Linked DNA regions of Rattus norvegicus. Each later gene encodes a partner of the first gene's protein in a complex. Links are inferred from orthologs where the notes say so. Each region holds a gene or a part of one and is shown in the gene's direction. Other genes may lie near its edges. The genes, in order: Syt1, Cplx1 and Sv2a.

Evidence for each region.
Region 2: the proteins of Syt1 (region 1) and Cplx1 are in contact, whole or in part, in a crystal structure (PDB 5W5C), measured with the Rattus norvegicus proteins. Residues at the interface, in NP_001028852.2 of Rattus norvegicus: Glu271, Thr383, Gly384, Glu386, Thr406, Leu407, Gln408, Glu412, Met416; in NP_074055.1 of Rattus norvegicus: Val61, Met62, Gly65, Asp68, Lys69, Tyr70, Lys74.
Region 3: the proteins of Syt1 (region 1) and Sv2a are in contact, whole or in part, in a crystal structure (PDB 4V11), measured with the Homo sapiens proteins. The link is inferred for Rattus norvegicus from reciprocal best matches to the Homo sapiens genes SYT1 and SV2A. Residues at the interface, in NP_001129277.1 of Homo sapiens: Thr291, Lys314, Lys326, Lys327, Lys328, Glu342, Ser343, Phe344, Ser345; in NP_001315603.1 of Homo sapiens: Asp82, Thr84, Glu85, Gly86, His87, Asp88.

Annotation. Positions count from the first base shown.
Region 1 is NC_086025.1:45,705,693-45,709,339, reverse strand, and holds part of Syt1 (synaptotagmin-1), read left to right. Parts: intron 1-3,252; coding exon 3,253-3,386; intron 3,387-3,647. UniProt on the Homo sapiens protein: Calcium sensor that participates in triggering neurotransmitter release at the synapse. May have a regulatory role in the membrane interactions during trafficking of synaptic vesicles at the active zone of the synapse.
Region 2 is NC_086032.1:1,327,742-1,332,015, forward strand, and holds the start of Cplx1 (complexin-1), read left to right. Parts: upstream 1-1,331; 5' UTR 1,332-1,448; intron 1,449-2,720; 5' UTR 2,721-2,792; coding exon 2,793-2,823; intron 2,824-4,274. UniProt on the Homo sapiens protein: Positively regulates a late step in exocytosis of various cytoplasmic vesicles, such as synaptic vesicles and other secretory vesicles.
Region 3 is NC_086020.1:186,443,410-186,446,706, forward strand, and holds the end of Sv2a (synaptic vesicle glycoprotein 2A), read left to right. Parts: intron 1-440; coding exon 441-600; intron 601-990; coding exon 991-1,174; 3' UTR 1,175-2,752; downstream 2,753-3,297. UniProt on the Homo sapiens protein: Plays a role in the control of regulated secretion in neural and endocrine cells, enhancing selectively low-frequency neurotransmission.

The DNA of each region.
Region 1 (3,647 bases):
GATAAACGTCTAGCTAACATGATGCCTAACAGGAAAAACGACAGCTATGCAATGATTTCCAATGTCAGGGAGGCCAAAACCAAATAAGAGACCTGATAGTGACCCAGACTACCAAGTCCTGCAGCAGAGTCCTTCTTTATATTCTGCGTGTGTGTGTGTGTGTGTGTGTGTGTGTGTGTGTTCGTCACTTGTGAGTACAGGAACAGCTGCACCATGACGCACATGTGCACATCAGAGGACAGCTCTGTATGTTACTTCTCTCACTCTATCTTTCTGTGGTTCTAGGATTAGGATCCAGGTCATCGGGTCCTGATGCTGGCCCTCAGTCTTTTTTGTTTAAGTAGCAGCCAGACATTAGAAATCATTAGAAATTAGAGATCAGGCAAAAAGATCTTTACTCCAAAGTTTTAAAAGAAACACTAGTATTCTTAAATACAAATTAGATAAATGAAGGGCGTGGTCTATCCTGTGCTTCTTTGGGAGGCAGCAGGGATATGAGATGGTGCTGAAGAAAGGTTATCAGTATTCAGAAGAGGGAGATAACCATGAGTGCTTGCTGCTGGCAACTGGAGGGACCCACAAGCCACAGGGACAGAGAGTGCCTGACGGGGTAGCCCAGTCTCAGTGCTTGCATAATTCCCCAAACTGTACATGTTTCCAAAACCCCAAAGGATGTTCCAACACCATGCCTAGTGTCTAGCTGCAGAGCTCGGGGAAAGCCACATTACTAAGTCTCATTATAGCCTATTGTATCATTTCCGTACAATTGCATCTTATGACACAAGTGCCAGGAATTTTAAGCCACCAAGACTCTGGGAGCTAACAGGGATTTGCTTTGCTTTACGGATAGCCCCTAAAACAGAACTAACAGTAACCATTCAGAGGCCTGCTTTTTGGGAGAGGTGATTTTTGCTTAAAAAGAAAAAAAATCTGTGTGTCCTCAAAGCATAGGTATGACTCACCACATGGCTGTCTTCCTATTTAGAGGTCGCAGCAAGGAGTCAGAGAACCAAACAAGGCTGAATCTCACAGAACTCACTGATGGGATAAGGGAGGGATTGGACCCACCTGCAGAGCAACCAGAATTCAAGACCAGACTCTGAGGAAAACAGAGGATACTTGAAAATCAGGGCAGCCAAGGAGTAGATGGAAGTGGGAAAGACTGGAGAAAACAAAGAAGCCAGACTTCAGATTGTAGGACCAAAAAAAAGATCTCTTGACTGAGCGAAGCACTGAAGGGAAAAATCCCCAATCTACATACATGCAAATGTGTAGCTTTAAGCACAAATAAGAAGACAGGACTAAGAGAAAGAACCTACCTCATGAGGCCTACACGACCTCCTACTTGTTCATTCAACAGTCAAAGAGAAAACCACGGGGGGCGGGAGGGGGTGCAGCTGGGTGGCAGAATAAATCCATAGCACGTACAAGCACCCCCCCAAATTTTATTATGCATCAGATTGTTTCAGTAAAATAGAGTGGTGAATATATGTAGCAGATATAGTTTCTGTCCTTTCAGGAGTTATATTCTACTGTGGAACAGAGAGAGGTAGATAAAAACAACCTTTTCATCTGCAACTTTCTAAAACTGTGCGGGCTTTAGATTGCTGTAATATTTCTCCCACTTCAAGCTCTAAAAGGCAAGAGAAAAAAATCTGAAAGGCTTAGCAGTAGTTATCTTAGATGATACTAATTTTTTTCTTTTTATCATTGCCTTCTGGTATTTTTCTATAATGAACTTGCATTATATATGAAATGGATTTTGCTTAAGAAAAACAGCAGAGAGGTTTTTTTTTTTTTTTATTCCTTTCAAAAGTCATGGTTTCTTGCAAAGTAAAGGTATGCCATTCGCCCATTAGTAATGAAAGCTCTAAGAGAGTGTTGCCTCTCCCCTCCAGGGTCTGGTGTATTATGTTAGTTACCTTTCCCCAATGAGGCTTAAGGGAAAATGCTCTGAAAATCCTTTTCTCTTTCCCTCCATGGGTATCAGCCTCTCCCTTATTCCCTGCACACCCTTGAAGGAAGCTATTGCAACCTATGAAGACTCAGTATGATCTCTCCGTGTCTGTCTGTCTCTCTCTCACCCTTTCCCTCAAACACACATACACAGAGAGATGCACAGACACACAAGGAGAGAGACACACTGTACATACAGACACAATGTACACACACACACACACACACACACACACACACACAGGAGAGAGAGAGAGCTCCAGTGTGAGCAATCAATCATGATCACTGACTTCTCTTCCTCAGCCCTCCCATTTCAGCGCCCCCAAACAGAGATGTCTTCTGTGTAGTTAGAGTCGTCCTATCCCTGCTGCACCCCACACTCTACCATCGCTGCCATTTTCCCAAAGATCTTGACTCGGCTCCTCCCTTGCACTGTGCTCATCAGCTTCTAACTTCACAGAAGTCTCCTTTCTCTAAAAGCTTAGTACCTATTACCCCACATTCTGAGATCCCATCACGGAAACAGAGACCTGCTGTGCTCAGTGCTGCCCCTATCGGTGATCAGAGGACCCAACACATATTGGCCACTCCAGTGTTGGCTGTGTAAGTGAATAAACAGTGAATGAAGCGGTCCCTTTGTCCTCTCCCTGTCAAGGTTTAGTCCCATGCACTAGCAAGCTATGGCCAAGCCAGCTCACAAAATTTAGCCAGTTGCTAAATCCCCACAGACTTTACAAGCCAGTTGTTAGTCCGTTTGTGGCTTAAAATGGGCCATGGTGAGTACACTTGTACCACAGAAATCTGCAAACGCTGCATGTCAGGACAGTTCCCCCTCAAAGAGCTGTTTCCCAGCATGCTCCGGTTCTTCCCTTCCAAATGTAACTCGGAAATTCGGCTAACATGACAATAAGCCTGCCCCAGAGCCTTCTTAAAAGCCTCTCAATAAAAGATGCTTGACGTTTTACAACAGATTACATAGAAGCTATGTAATCACTTACCTGTTGGGGTTCAGTCCTTGTCTGAGCTAATGTATGATCTAAAACATGTGGCTCTGGATGACAAAAAAGGTACAGACAATGAAAGTTCCTGCTGTCAGACCTAATGACCTGAGTCTGATTCCTAGGGTCCACTCAGTAGATGAAGAAGACAGACTTCCACACGGCTGTCCTTTGACCTCCATGCATGTATGCAGTGTGGTGTGCATACCACCACACACACAGTAAATCGTACTAGAATGTTTCAGATAAAACAAAAATCCACGCCTGAGCTTCTAGAGTTCCTGTGTCTGTCTTTCAGATCCCTACGTGAAGATTCACCTGATGCAGAACGGTAAGAGGCTGAAGAAGAAAAAGACGACGATTAAGAAGAACACACTCAACCCCTACTACAACGAGTCCTTCAGCTTTGAAGTTCCGTTCGAGCAAATCCAGGTATGGTCTGACATGAGTGTGTCCCTCTACCCAGTCGCAGGCCTTCAGATCCCATAAATGACCCTGTGAGTCACCAGGGCTCTGCCCATGCCCGTTCATGCGGTGCCTGAGCCCCACCAAGCAGGACATGACAGACACACAGCCGTGAGAAGGGCTGGCTCTTCAGCTGGTACAGCAAGCTGCCTTCTGCTGAGCAGAGGGAACGTAGAAAACAGAAAACCATCAGAACCACTTTGCTAGGTCATTAAGTTTGTCTATGGA
Region 2 (4,274 bases), on another chromosome or scaffold:
TTTTTTGCTAGCTACCATAGACTCCTAAAACACAGAATGAGTCAGACTGGGCACATCTGTGTACAGGTGACCCCATTCCACGGGGCATCAGTCCTGGGCCTGAACAAGGCTTGGGGCATCAACCAACCTTACCAGAAGTGTGATGGGTGAACTGAGATGGATGGTGTCAATAGGAATGGCACTGGGAGACTCTTCTGTGTATGGTGTGAGTCATGTCCAACTTTCTGAATGATCCCCTCTCCTAGGCATAAACCTGGGTACAGTGCAGGCACTTCACCAGTGGGATCAGACTGTATCCCTAACTACAAGGCTCCAGGCTGAAGTCAGGGCTAGAAGATGGGGGACTTCTCTTCCTGTCTCCACTCCAGCTCCCTTCCTGGTCTCTTCTACTTTGAATCTGCCAGGTCAAAGGAACAAAAACTGATAAAAGCAAGTCTACGATGGACTCCATACCCTCCCTCAGCCCCTCGAATTCAAGCCACCAAGCACCCTGGGGCAGCTTTGGGATGTTAGTGAAGGAGGAATACTCATTAGGCAAGAAGTTTCACTGAATTGGGTGAAGGTCAAGATCTACCTAATCCGGAGGAATGACTCAGCCAGGAGGAACAGTAACAGTTAATGCAATGACCATCAGCACAAGACCCTGCGGGTCAGGAAATACCTCTGGCTACCCAGAATCAAAAAACAGCTTAGGTGTCCCCATATGCTCTGACTTCTGCGAAGCTGATTGCCTCACAGAAGCCCCCGCCCGCCCCCCAGGACAAGTACAGGGATGCCAGGCCAACCTTGTGGCCACCGGGTTCTTCTGCAGTGCAGCCGCAGCAGAGTTGAAATCCCGTTGCCGGGGAAGGGGCGGCCTAGAGGCGGGGCTGTGGCTGTCTCCGAGGAGCCCCTGCCCAGCCATGTCCGCAGTGACCTTCAGGCGTCCCTGACTGGCTGGGGTTCCTATCCCACCAAAGCCACATTTGGCGGTTCTGCACACCGGAGAAGGTTGGATGTGTGGGCTTATCTTGCAGGATCGGGGGTCTCGGGCGGTGCTCGCCTCTTCCCGCCCTGCCAGCAAAGGAGCAAAGCAACCGGGTCAAGAGCAAACGTGGTGGGTAGATGAGGGATGGCGACCCCAGCCCTGCGTTCTCCCTGCGTTTCTGGAGGGCGCTTCAGGAGGAATTCAGGAGGGTCTCCAAGCCGGTATGAAGAGAGTGGCCCAGGCCAAGGAGGGGCCCCTATGCAGCTGTCGCGCGAGCCAGGCCAGAATCTGGGAACCGGGGGCGCGGCTACCCCCCCATCTCCGCCGCGCCCCGCCCTCCTCGTCATGCGGGACGCGGGCGGGGGCGCTTCTGAGTGACGCGCCCTCCTCGCGGTGTCCTTCAGCCGCCGCAGCAGCACAGAGCGCCACATGGACCCCGCCGGCCTGAGAGCGCGCTGCTGTTGATCGTTCACCTTGGAAGGTAACTAGCGCCCTAGCAGCCAGTCCGACCTCAACCGGCTCCCACCTTTCCCCTTCCCAGCTCAGTCTTCCTCCCGACTCCGGGGCTTCCCTTCCCGGATCCCCGCTTTCTAGCCATGGGTCTCCTACCCTTGGTTCCCCTACTCTTGGTTCCTTGCCTTTCAGACCCAAGGTTGATCAGCCCGGAAGGCGCTGTCCGTCTCAAGGTGCTGAAGCGGCCCTTGATTCCCTTTCCCATCGGCATTTTTTTTTTTTTTTTTTTTTCCTTTCTTTCTTTCTTCTCTCCCTGGCGCGCTTCTGCCTGAGGCCGTGCTCCGGTCGGGCACCTCGCCCAGCAAAGCAAAGGGTGCGGCGGCCACGAAAGAACAGGATGCCTTGGTCTTTGCGGAATCTCCTCCGCAGCGACCGAGCTTCTCCAAGCCTGGCCCTGCGGAGCCCCCATCCCCCGATTACCCCGAGACAGAGAGAAGTTTAGAAGGCAACTGGCTTTGCTGCAAAGGCATCCCTGAACCCCTAGCTTCTGGGACACTCTCACTGCCTGGCACCCCTTCGGGTCTCATTCCGCAGAGGGAAACCTGTGAAATACTGGATCCCTAGGGACCAGGTTCCCTGTCAGGAAAGACCCTACAAAAAGGGATGTCTTTGCAGCTGTTGGCATTACAAAAAACACCTTTCTAAACGCTGCTGGGCATTCTGGCTTGGGTCGCCCTACCTCATGCAGAGACAATGTGGATCAGCTGTTTCCCCTCCTAGTGGAAGACCCGGACACTGTCATCTCCCTCCCGGGCCAGTACTGCTGCGGGCCTCCAGAGTCTCCCTACAGACAAATATAGTTGAGACTAGTCAGAAGTCATAAGGACCTTTCCTGAGGGGCAACATTCATGGACTTGTCTCTCCAATTCTTCCCCAGAGGGACCCTTGCCCCACAGCTCCAAAACTGCCAAGGAGGTTGAGCAGCCAGAATCTGGGTGCTACAAGCAGAGCATTGACCTTCAAATGCCCCCTGGGCCCCACCCCCACTTGAGGAGGCTGGCACCAGTCTCCAGTAACTGGTGGCCCCAAGTTGTGAGCTGCAGTGGCAGTTAAAAGCTTCCTTCAGAAACCCCAGAAGCAGCAAGATGACTGTTGGTTTGGCTGGGCTCTGAACCCTGCCGTCCTGGTCTGGGTGTGGGAACAAAGCCTCTCGCACTGGACTCTCAGGATAGTGGAGAGGTGTAGATGAGGGTCTTGGGAAGAGTCCGTCAGGGTACCTATGACCACCTACTCTCTCTAGGCAGAGGACTCCAACCACACTTGAATGTGAAATCTGACCCCGGAGTGTCTCCTGAGGAACCAAGCCATCATCATGGAGTTCGTGATGAAACAAGCCCTGGGAGGTAGGAGGTGGGCAGGGAGGAGGACATGGGTTTGGGCCACCAGGGATACACAGACATCTGATACTCAAGAGAGACATGTCTCTACCACTGCAGTGACATGGAGACACATGGCTGCATGACCACTTCTGACCTCACTCACTGCCTCTGCAGGTAGTTGCAGATTTAATATGAGATATGGGGAGAATGTGCTGTGTAAGATGGCCCTATGCCCCCGTGCCATGGCGCAGTAGAACGCACTGGTCATCCCAAGACGAGTCAAGAACTGAGCAGCATTGATCAATGCAGATACCCCGGCGAGGCTTGTGAGCAGCTCTCGTTGTGTCAGTCCTGGGAACAAACCATGCACCAGGATTGCGTTAGGAAACAGGATCTGGGTGATCCCAACTGTGGCATTGAGCTCTATGGGTTTCACCCGGGTAAGAGACAGTACTATTTACAAGGACAAGAAAGGATAACTATGTAATCAAGTCCACTTCTACAGAGAAAACATAGCCCCTTTATGTCGTTGAGTGAGGGCAGCCTCCTTACTCACTCACTGTTTGAAGAGAGTCCTGTCCCCACTTGGCCCAAAGCCATCTTTGTAGCTAGCAACAGTAGGTCTAGAAACTGGTAGAGGACAGTGGAATGAGTTCTTGGCCAGGAGGTGCTGAAACAGTGAGCTAAAAGGTTTGGTACCCGTTTGGCCAGAATGGGTTTCAACAGAGCAGTTTAGTCAGCTCAAGCCTGTAGGATTTGAGATTGCCCTAGGTGGACTTCATGCTTGTTCAAGCTACCTGCTCTAGGTACCCCAACACCCTTGTGTAGCCTCAGTGCTGAGAGCTCACACCAATTTTACTGCAGGGAGGCCCCTTGACTGGTGTGGGTCTCAGCTGGAATGTGTTAGGCATCCTTTGCTGTATGGAAAAGGGAAGGGGACCACTCACAGAGAGAAAGCTGGTTGGGGTCTTGGGGCCCAAAAGAGGAGAATCTGCCCAAATAGGCATCTCCCAGAGGGTGTCTGTGACTTCACTCGTATGTGATGAAAAGGAGACCCAGTGTGCTTGCTGAGTTCACGGCTGTGGTAGACTCAGGTTGAATCTAATTATAATGATTACATCACCGGGACAGGATTCAGAGGCAAGCCAGCATCCTGTATCAGAAGAGACCCGTGTTATACCCAGAAAGTCCCAGGCTGCTACAGACAATTAATTTGGTGGCTAATTCAGGCCCTGAGGTGGGCTTTTAAAGAAACTGAAATCTCTGATTTGGCTGTCTACGTAGCTGAAATTAGCTGGGTAATTGCCAGCCTGGATTCCCTCATTGTTCCATGTCAGCCCAAAGTTTCTCCTGCACCAGCAATGGGGCGTGCTTCTTGGGGTGCTGTGAAAGCTGCTGGGGCGGGGTGGTAAACAGCAGACAGAAGCTACAGGGTAGTAGCCACGCACTAGACCAAGCACCATCCCAACTATCCT
Region 3 (3,297 bases), on another chromosome or scaffold:
TAGAGAGTTTCCCCCTCTCATGTTTTGTTTAGGGGTGCTACAAAATGGGGGTGGGCCTGGTATAGAAGTTACTCTAGGGATTAAAGAAATAGGATGGTAGGCAATTAGGGTATAGACTTTGAGGTTATAGATTTGGGGTTCAGCTCCACCTTGGACTGGTTACACCCTGTTAGCCTTCACCTGCAATCACAGCACCACTCTCAGAAGGCTGGTCTCAGACAGGTCCATAGAAAACATCCCGTGACTTACTTAGTTCATAGTTGGTATTGAATAAATGGCTGCTACTGAAAGGGGTTATTAATCAACACAGGGGTTGAGGACACGTGAAAAGCCTTCCTTTTGGCTACCCTGGGAAACATTATCTGGGGTGGTCTCAAAGCTAGCTGGTAGTAAGCTGGGCCACGACTGGGTTTCACGGCTGTCTCTTCTCCTGGCTCCAGCTGGTTCCAGTGTGTTGTCCTGTGTTTCCTGCTTCTTCCTGTCTTTTGGGAACAGTGAGTCAGCCATGATCGCTCTGCTCTGCCTTTTTGGGGGAGTCAGTATTGCATCCTGGAACGCGCTGGACGTGCTGACTGTTGAACTCTACCCTTCCGACAAGAGGTAGTTTGGAGTGCGGCAGGGGCAGGGGAGAAGGTTTGGGAGCTACAGGACTGGGGCGAAATGAGGAGGAGGACTGAAAGAATATCGTTAGGGATAAGAATCTCGTGAGGGATAAGGGTGTTGTTAGGGGTAGGACAGACATCCCTGCTGAGCTTTTCCTTAACAGTTGGGAGCTCTTGTCTTGGCTCCTAACTGCTAATTACTAACCTCTGCTTCTGTCTCTTTTCTCTCCTGTCTCCCAATGTGTCTGTATGCCCCACCCCCTCCGTCCCTACTCCATCCTCCCTTCCCGCTCCTGCACACTGCTTTTGTCTTACCCCACTCTGCCTTCCCACCTGCCCTTCTCCCTTCCGCTGGACCCCGACGGCCACGTGGCTTGGCCCTGAGCAGGACGACGGCCTTCGGCTTCCTGAATGCCCTGTGTAAGCTGGCAGCTGTACTGGGCATCAGCATCTTCACGTCCTTTGTGGGAATCACCAAGGCCGCTCCCATCCTCTTCGCCTCAGCTGCGCTTGCCCTTGGTAGCTCTCTGGCTCTGAAGCTGCCTGAGACCCGGGGACAGGTGCTGCAGTGAGGGATGGGGGAGTGTCTCAGGGGCTTTAGGGATGGCAGGCACACTGTGACCAATAATTTCTTTTATCCCTACCCTGCCCTGCTGTCCTGGTCCTACTCCGTGTTTGGTGTCTTAGCTGTGTGCCTGTGTGCATGTGTGTGACCCTGACGGGCAGGGGCTACGGGGAGGGTCCCTTTGTCCCATGTTTGGGAGGAGGGACTCCCCACCTGCTGCCACCCTCAACTTTGCACAAGGAGAAGGCTGAGCTGCATCCTTCTCTCCCTCAGTGTTAGCAGGGGTGGGGACGACTGTTTCTCTGCTCCAGGTGTTCCAGAATTTCTGCCTTTCCCATCATTCCCTCCGCCTAGGCCCTGGTGAACCACAGGTATGGAGTTATAGTGGGGGCTGAGGCTTGGACCAAAAGAACTTCTTGAGTGGGAGCCTCCCAAGGATGCTGGGGAGTAGCAATAAACCTTAGCCTCCGTTTTCACCTCAATTCAGGCTACAAGTGTGAAGCCTGGATTTTATGGAATTAGTTTTCTGATTCTTATTTATATGTAAGTTCTGAGGCAGCTTAGCTGGACTGTGTGTGGATGTATACATACACTCATATGTGTGTGTGTGTGCGCGCGTGCGTGTGCGTGTGTGTATGTGTGCCATGGGGTAGGGGTACCACTATACTGTTCAATTATAAGCCAAGAGTAGTAGTTTCAGTGAGCACACACACAACACTGTTTTTCTATCGTAACTCCCAGAATCTTGTACCTGTGTTGGGGCTGCAGGCAGAAGTCCTTGGTCAGGCTGGGGTGAGCCCTGCAATCTTGGGGGACCTGAGGGCACCTGACAAGGACTTTCTCCTTCCTCTAGAGAGGTTCTACCCACTAGCCACAGCCCTCCCATCTGACCTGTCCACACAGGCAGTGTATCAGAGGAAAGAAAGGGAAAATAACCAGGCACACATGGTCAAACCAGCAGGTCTGAAAGCACAAGAAGCTGGGGCAGGGGCAGGAAGCAGGGGTCCATCCCCTAACCCTTCTCAAAAAGGCTGGGTCGTGAGGGACCCCTAATGCAGGGACCTGAAGCCTCAGTTTCCCCATCTTGCCCTTCCACAGAACAGCCTCTGTAGGTAGAGCTGCCCCCCGTCCTACCCTACTCTTGTGGCTGCTTTCTTTGGTACTCTTCCCACTCCCACCGTAGCTGTGACGTGTTGTAGTTTTTAGCTGTTTGTAAAATGTTAAAAAAAAAAAAAAGTTAAAAGGAAGTTAAACTAAAAAAAAAAAAAATCCAAATTCACCCTCCTTATGCTGTGTCTGGTGCCCTCAACCCTAAGGCCATTCCGATTTTGTAACACTGAACCAGGTGGTGACTGTTTAATCGTGTCTGTGCTCAAAGGACTGCCTTCTCCTCCAGTGCCCAGTGTGTGTGTGCCCCTTCCCTCATCATTCCGTTGCTGGACGTGGCCCTCTCCCTTACGTCCCCAGGGGAGACACAGCCACTTGTTTGTCTCCCGGGGAGCCCTGAACCTGACTCCATTGATGTGAAAAAATGAAATGAAAAATACTGCTGAAAAATAAAGGGTCTGAACCCTTAAAACTCAAAGCGGCTGTGTGTGCGTCCTGGCCTCTCCATTCACAGTTCGCCATCCTGACCATCTGGGGAAGACAAACTTGTGTGGGAGAAACGATTCCTTCTTCAGGGCCAAAATAAGCAAGCCCCCTCTCTTACCATGGACTTATGGAATGGGGTACCTCAAATCTACATTTTGTTTAAAAAGCATTTACTTATGCTGGTTCTAGTGGGTTAATAGCCCTTGTTACTCTTGCAAAAAGCAACATAAACATATATTTTATTTGCATGAGCATTTTGCCTGCATATGGATGTAGGCACCACATGTGCCTGGTACCCATCAAGGCCAGAAGAGGGCATTAGATCCTCTGCAACTGGAGCTACAGGCCCTTGTGAGTCACCAAGTGGGTGCTGGGAATCAAACCTGGATCCCCTGGAGAACAGAAAGTGCTTATAAATTCGATACCACCTCTCTGGACCCCAGTTTAAAGCAATGCCTTTTGGGAATTCCTACTGCCTGCAGCTTGCCCTTGATTACCCTGTCTCAACTCCATCGCTTTAATCAAGCTGCATTGCTG